Macaca fascicularis: one gene and its partner. The protein of the gene in region 2 purifies or fractionates together with the protein of the main gene of each other region. This does not show direct contact. Links are inferred from orthologs where the notes say so. Each region holds a gene or a part of one and is shown on either strand. Other genes may lie near its edges.

Region 1 (4,182 bases), about 9.2 Mb from region 2:
CGTCTCAAAAAAAAAAAAAAAAAAAAAAAAAAAAAATTAAAAAAAAAATAAATAACTAGTAACTGAGACCAGGCACGGTGGCTCACGCCTGTAATCCCAGCACTTTGGGAGGCCAAGGTGGGCGGATCACGAAGTCAGGAGATCCAGACCATCCTGGCTAACACGGTGAAACCCCGTTTCTACTAAAAATACAAAAAATTAGCCGGGCGTGGTGGCAGGCACCTGTAGTCCCAGCTACTCCGGAGGCTGAGGCAGGAGAATGGCGTGAACCCAGGAGGCGGAGCTTGCAGTGAGCTGAGATCGCACCACTGCACTCTAGCCTGGGCGACAGAGCAAGACTCCCTCTCAAATAAATAAATAAATAAATAGAAACTGGCACATGACCTGCATCATCAAAGGGCACCTACCACCGCCTGTGCCCATTAAGTTAATTTAACTGGCCAGTAACACTTCTCAAATGCGGGTTCACCAAGGGTGGCAAATCCCACTGAAGATACACCTTTCTGTTATCTATGAACTTCTGCTGTGCAACTCCCTCGCCTCCAGCTGCCCTTCCCTACGCAATGCCAGAATGTTCTTGTAACTTCTGGCTATGTGCCAGTTTTTCTCAGGTGTGCTCTGATGCACCTAGGAGAAGACCTTTGTCATCCCATTTCACAAATAAAAACACAGAGGTCCAGGAGCCTAAGTCATTCATTCCTATTTACCCCGAAGGTGCAGAGCTAAGATCCCCATCTGCAGTTTTAAGTCCTCCAATACTCAATACTGGGTGCTAAGTCTTTATGAACATCATCTTATTAACAATAAAAACAGTAAACAAAGTAACAAAGGCTGACACGTGCTGACTGGTTGGTGCCAAGCCCCTGATATACACTTTGCCATTTAATTCTCCAGCATTATGAGGGTGCTACCACTATCCCCTTGCTAAAGATAAAGAAACCAATGCATGAAGAGGATACAACATTTGCCCAAAGTCAGAGCTGATAAATGGTGCGGGTTAAGTGCCAATCTTCAACCACTACTCACTGAATTTTCACAAAAATTCTACAAAAGGGGTACTATCAAACCCTACTTTTTTTTTGAGACAGTCTTCTTCTGTTGCCCAGGCTGGAGTGCAGTGGCACGATCTCAGCTCATTGCAACCTCCACCTCCTGGGTTCAAGTGATTCTCGTGCCTCAGCCTCCCAAGGAGCTGGAATTACAGGCATCATCATGCCCGGCTAATTTTTGTTATTTTTAGTAGAGACGGGGTTTCACCATGTTGGTCAGGCTGGTCTTGAACTCTTCACCTCAGGTGATCCACCTGCCTCAGCCTCCCAAAGTACTGGGATTACACGCGTGAGCCACCGCACTGGGCCACAACCCCACTTTAAAAAAAATTTTTTTTTTTTTGAGAGACAAAGTCCTGCTCTGTCACCCAGGCCGGAGTATAGCGGCACAATCACAGAGCACTTCAGTCCCCAACTCCTGGGCTCAAGCAATCCTCCCATCTCAGCCTCCTGAGTAGCTAGAACTACTGCTGCACTCGACCACACCCGGCACCCGGCTGCAACCCCATTTAAAACAGCGAAACTGAGGATCACAAAGATTAAGCCCCTCGCTTAAATCACACAGCTAGCAAAATAGTCAGAGGCTGGACTCGCAAATCCAACCCCTTGCTCCCCAGAACCCAAACCATTCCTGGCCTGCTCAGTGAACTCACCTCAAACTCTCGAATGTACGGCGCAATGCCACAGTAAGGTTGATTGTGGTGTTTTTCATGTGGCAGTTTCTCCAGGGGTGGCAGGTATGGGATAGGGTCACGGGGGGCAAAGAGGGCCAGAAGGTTGGGCGGCAGGAACTGGGTCATCTTGCCAAGTCTGAGAGCAGAAGCAGGACAGCCTTAGGTTAGATCGGGTCTGCAGAGAAAGCCCCTATTACTCCTTGACTCTCAAAGTAAGAAAGAAAGGAGAAAAGTCTCGGAATTAAAACAGGCTTTGTAACGGCAGAGAACGGTCCTGTGTTACGGAGAAAAGGGTAAAAGTCTTGTTGGAGGTGGAGGTGAAAGGCCGGTAAAAGACACAAAAATAAAGGCTGAAAAAGGGTTCCTGAGTAGTGAAGTCTCAGAGTCCTGAGACACGAGCTGTGGGGCGGAGAGGTTGCCTGGGAATTTCTGGGGGAATCAAAGACCCGAGGAGGGAGGCCCAGGGCAGTTGTGGCTGCTCGTCCCGTACCGTGGACAGCAAATTACTAGACGCAGTTTGCAAGGGCCTGGGGGTCGGAAGTCTCCGAGCAAAGAAAGAGAAACATAAGGAGCGAAGCCCCAAAACCAAGCGATTGTGGGTAACAGATCTGGGCCCCGCAAAGGCGAAAGGAATTATGGGTAAGGGTCCAGGACAACATAGAAAAACGAAAAAGAAAAAAGGCTACACACCGCAAGGGCCTGTGGGTAGGGAACCGCGAGGGCGATGTGGGGACCGGGCGTGGGTGCCCAGAGAACTCGGGGTCCGGGAAAGGGATGCAAAAGTGACCTGTGGCGAGGACGCGGGAAGGGGGCCTGGCCGCGGGGAAGAGGCCCGGGCCCACCGCTGGGGCTTCTGGGTAGCGGCCCCGCTCCCCGTCGGGCCACTCAGTCACACTCACTCGCCGCGCAGCGCCCTCCTAGCTCTGGTGTCTGTCCGGAGGCTCGCGGCGGCTGCGGCGGCCCCTCAGCAACAACAGCTCCTGCTTGGGCTTCCACTCTGGGGGCGTCCGCGTCCGTCTGATTCCGTCGCCCGCGCAGCGAGCGCACCAGGCCGCTGCTCAGGAACCCGCGCGGCCTCGGCTAGCGACTGGAGCAGGGGGTGGGTCCCGGCCGCAAATCCCTCCGCCGTCTGCACTGCGCACGCGCCGCGCGAGGCCAAGCTCAACCCACACGCTAGGACCCGGCGCCGCCGCGGCAACAGCGCACGCGCGAGGTCACCACCCCGCCTTCGGGCACCTTGAGTATTTCAACCGCCGGGAGCTGGCGTCTGCACTGCGCGCGCGCGCTTAGCCCCAAGCCGCCCCTCCACCTCTCGCTTTCCGCTCCAAACCGCCTATGTCCGCGAGGCTCTCCCTGATGCTCCGCCCCTTTCCAATCACACTTCCCGGATCTTGCGCGCATGCGTTCTGCGTAGTGAACTATAATGTACCTCTCCGCCGACTAGCAAAGAGTCCCTAAGTGAATGGCCTGATTGCGTTGATGTTTAATCTAGTCAATCGATAACTGTTCATCGAGCATCTCGTGTGTGCTAGGCACTGTCTGGGCTTTGGGGCTACAGCACGTGATTAAAGCAAAGTCTTCTCCTGCTAGGGCTTACACTGTACTGGGAGAGACAATAAAAGCATTTAACTGAGTAAAGATAATTTGAGGCCGGGCGCGGTGGATCACGCATGTAATCCCAGAACTTTGGGAAGCTGAGGCGGTCGGATCACCTGAGGTCAGGAGTGCGAGACCAACCTGACCAACATGGTGAAAGCCCGTCTCTACTAAAAATACAAAAATTATCCGGGCGTGGCGGTGCGCGCCTGTAATCCCAGTTACTCGGGAGGCTGTGGCAGGAGAATCGCTTGAACTTGGGAGGCTGAGTTTGCAGTGAGCCGAGGTCGTGCCATTGCACTCCAGCCTGGGCGACAGAGCGACTCCGTCTCAAAAATAAATAAATATAAAAAATAAAAGATATTTTGAGATAGTGGCCAGCATAATGAAGAACGATGGAGCAGAATAAAGGGATGGGAAATGAGAGCGAGTCTATTTTGATAATGGAAGCCTCTTCTGAAGAGGCAACATTTGAACAAAAACCAGATAGAAGCGAGATCTGGAGGCGGGGGGGAGCGGGGGGTGGTGTTTAACAGTTTAAGTGCAAAGGTCCTGAGCGAGGACCAGATGGCAGAAATCTCAGGTTGTTAGCCATGAGATCAGAGAGCTGGCACTTAAGTTATTTGAAGCCCTGTTGTTAAGTATCTTAAGTTTTGTGGATAGATTCAATAGCCTGTTTAATAACTAAATTACTGCAAAATTCAATTGACTAATTTTATGTTTCAATAAAAAGGCCAAGTGCAGTGGCTCACACCTGTAATCCCAGCACTTTGGGAGGCCAAGGCGGGTGGATCACTTGAGGAGTTCGAGACCAGCCTGGCCAACATGGTGAAATCCCATCTCTACTAAAAATGCAAAAATTA
Region 2 (3,513 bases):
TTTCCACACATTTACAAAGAGCCAATCAGTGTCCACTGTTTACCAAAATACCTGTTGGAATTTTGACTGCAATCACGTTGAATATTCATTAATTTGGATGGAACTGACCTCTTGACAATACTGAGTCCTTCTATCCATTGCTGAGTCTCTGATTTCTCCCAGCTACGTTCTGTGATTTCAGTGTAGTCATTCTGCAAACCTTTTGTTGGATTTACCCCTCAGTGCTACTTCTCAATGTGAAGTCTACTTGTCTGTTACTGGCATATAAAAATAAAACTGGGGGTCGGCCATGGTGACTCATGCATGTAATCCTGGCACTTTGGGAGGCTGAGACAGTGAGTTTGAGATTAGCCTGGATGATACAGCTAAGCCCCGTCTCTACAAAAAATGCAAAAGTGAGCTGGGTGGGGTGGCACGCACCGGCAGCTCCAGCTGCTAGGGAGGCTGAGGCAGAGGTTGCAGTGAGCTGTGATGGCACCACTGCACTCCAACCTGGGTGACAGTGAGACCATGTCTCAAAAATAATATTAATAAATAATAAAACTAATTTTTTCCATATTGCCCTTATATCCAGCAACCTTTCTAAATGAAGTTCACTTATTAATCCTAACAGTTGCTTAGTAGACACTTGGACTTTCTACATGCACAATGAGTTACAAGACACAGGCGACAAAATCAAGGCCATGGAGAGAGCGAAACCAAGTCACAGCCATGAAGAAAGACCTTGAGAAACATTCACAAGGAGGAAACAAGCGTTTCAAGAGGATATAGCATCATCTAGGTGCTCAACACCCCAAAAGAGAGACACACATCTCTATAAGGAAACAGAAAGGAGGGGGTCTGAAGCCCCAAGTGGAGAACTCTCCCCACCCTGTCCCAAAGCCAGTCCATGTGGCTGAGGAAGGCTTGGCAGTGGGAGGGCTGGTCTCCAGGGCCTGGCTTACCGGGACAGGCCCCTGGACAGCCCCCACCACAGGGGCAGCTCCCCCGCCTTGCACAGCCTTCTTGGTGGCTGGGGTCTCCTGGCTCTTGGGCTTCCTCTTCTCCCGCTTGCGGTCCCGCTCCACGAAGGTGCCTTTCATCTTGGCAATGATATCTGAGTCAGTCTTGGCGTACTGGATACGCTACCAAAACAGAGAGCAGAACGGGTTAAGAGCGTGGATTCAGAGCCCAATTGCCAAGATTCAAAACTGGACCTTTACCGGGGCCAGGTGTTGTGGCTCATGCCTGTAATCCCAGCCCTTTGGGAGACTAAAGGGAGTAGGTCACTTGAGGTCAGGAGGTGGAGACCAGTTTGGCCATTGCAGCGAAACCCCATTTCTTTGTCTCTGTCTCTCTCTCTTTTTCTTTCTTTCTTTTTTTGAGACATTGTCTTGCTCTGTCACCCAGGCTAAAGTGCAGTGATGAGATCTCAGTTCACTGCAACCTCCACCTCCCAGGTTCAAACAATTCTGCCTCAGTCTCACTACTAGCTGGGATTACAGGCGCCCACCACCATGCCCGGCTAATTTTTGTATTGTTAGTAGAGACAGGGTTTCACCATCTTGGCCAGGCTGGTCTCGAACTCCGGACCTCATGATCCATCCGCCTCAGCCTCCCAAAGTGCTGGGATTACAGGCACTAGCCACCGCGCCTGGCCGGGAAACCCCATTTGTACCAAAAATACAAAAATTAGCTGGGCATGGTGGCATGCACCTGTAGTCCCAGCTACTCAAGAGGCTGAGGCAGGAGGCAGGAGGCAGGAGAATCGCTTGAACCCGGGAGGCGAAGGTTGCAGTGAGCTGAGATCGCGCCTGTGCACTCCAGCCCAGGCGACAGAGCAAGTCACTGTCTCAAAAAACAAAACAAAACAAAAACAAAAAACAAAAAAATCAGACCTTATCAGGAGCTTACTGAGAAACACAGAAATATAAATATCTTGGCCTTAACCTCCTTGTCTGAAAAACGGGGATTATGATACCTCCCACTTCAAAGGACTGTTATGAGGACTAAATGAGTTAAAGTGCTTGGAACAGTACCTGACACACAGTAAGTAAGTGTTCAGTAGAAAGGCTGTTGGTATTTTCAAGGGAAGCTGGAACAGCAATAAACGTCAGGCCAAAAGCCCGAGGAGACAATGCTAGGAGAGGAGTGCAGTGCACGGGGATTTCCTATCACACAAGAATACACCTCAGTCTTCCAGGTTCAATCTCATTCACTTAGCTGTTTAAGAAGAACCTGCCAGGCCGGGCGCGGTGGCTCAAGCCTGTAATCCCAGCACTTTGGGAGGCCGAGACGGGCGGATCACGAGGTCAGGAGATCGAGACCATCCTGGCTAACACAGTGAAACCCCGTCTCTACTAAAAAATACAAAAAAAAAAAAAAAAAAAAACTAGCCGGGCGAGGTGGCGGGCGCCTGTAGTCCCAGCTACTCGGGAGGCTGAGGCAGGAGAATGGCATAAACCCGGGAGGCGGAGCTTGCAGTGAGCCGAGATCCGGCCACTGCGCTCCAGCCTGGGCGACAGAGCAAGACTCTGTCTCAAAAAAAAAAAAAAAAAGAAGAACCTGCCAGATGCCAGGCACAATTCGAGGCTCTGGGAATAAAGCAATGAAAAAAATAGACAAAAACCCCTCTTTCACGGTGCTTATTCAGTAGGGGAAGGTATGTTAAACATTCTTAGTGTGGCACAGTAGCTCACGCCTGTAATCCTAGCACTTTGGGAGGTTGAGGCCGGCAGATCACTGGAGCTCAGGAGTTCGAGACCAGCCTGGGCAACATGGCGAAACCCTATCTCTACTAAAAATACAAAAATCAGCGTTTCCAGGGGAGATAGCATCGTCTATCTCATCAAAAATAAATAAATAAATAAAATAAATTAAAAAAAATTTTTTTAAGATTTCTTTAAATTTATTTTTATTTTTTGAGATATAGTCCTGCTCTGTCACCCAGGCTGGAGTGCAGTGGTGCGATATTGGCTCACTGCAACCTCCGCCTCTCGGGTTCAAGCAATTCTCCTGCCTCAGCCTCCCAAGTAGCTGGGATTACAGGTGCCAGCCATCATGCCCAGCTGATTTTTGTATTTTTGTAGAGACAGGGTTTCGCCATGTTGGCCAGGCTGGTCTCGAACTCCTGACCTCAGGTAATCCACTGGCCTCAGCCTCCCAAAGTGCTGGGATTACAGGCATGAGCCACCATGTCCAGCCAAATATACATATATATACGTATTTTGAGACAGTCTCACTCTGTCACCCAGGCTGGAGAGCAGTGGCAGGATCTCGGCTCACTGCAACCTCTGCCTCCCAGGTTCAAGCAATTCTCCTTCCTCAGCCTCCCGAGTAGCTGGGACTACAGGCGCATGCTGCCACGCCCAGCTAATTTTTGTATTTTAGTAGACGGGGTTTCACAGTGTTGCCCAGGCTAGTCGCAAACTCCTGAGCTCAGGTAAACTGCCTGCCTCGGCCTCCGAAAGTGCTGGGATTACAGGCATGAGCCACCGCACTCCGCCAAAAAAATTTTTAAAGGAGGCAAGGTGC

The links. The genes of interacting proteins can lie anywhere in the genome.
Region 1: the proteins of SNRPA (region 2) and SNRNP70 purify together in Homo sapiens (affinity purification with mass spectrometry; 4 studies listed by BioGRID and IntAct, counting the BioPlex papers as one, with this or other methods). This does not show direct contact. The link is inferred for Macaca fascicularis from reciprocal best matches to the Homo sapiens genes SNRPA and SNRNP70.

Annotation. Positions count from the first base shown.
Region 1 is NC_088393.1:57,061,371-57,065,552, reverse strand, and holds the start of SNRNP70 (U1 small nuclear ribonucleoprotein 70 kDa), read right to left. Parts: upstream 2,813-4,182; 5' UTR 2,619-2,812; exon of another isoform or gene 2,414-2,618; intron 1,860-2,413; 5' UTR 1,850-1,859; coding exon 1,703-1,849; intron 1-1,702. UniProt on the Homo sapiens protein: Component of the spliceosomal U1 snRNP, which is essential for recognition of the pre-mRNA 5' splice-site and the subsequent assembly of the spliceosome. SNRNP70 binds to the loop I region of U1-snRNA.
Region 2 is NC_088393.1:47,872,356-47,875,868, reverse strand, and holds part of SNRPA (U1 small nuclear ribonucleoprotein A), read right to left. Parts: intron 1,125-3,513; coding exon 945-1,124; intron 1-944. UniProt on the Homo sapiens protein: Component of the spliceosomal U1 snRNP, which is essential for recognition of the pre-mRNA 5' splice-site and the subsequent assembly of the spliceosome. U1 snRNP is the first snRNP to interact with pre-mRNA.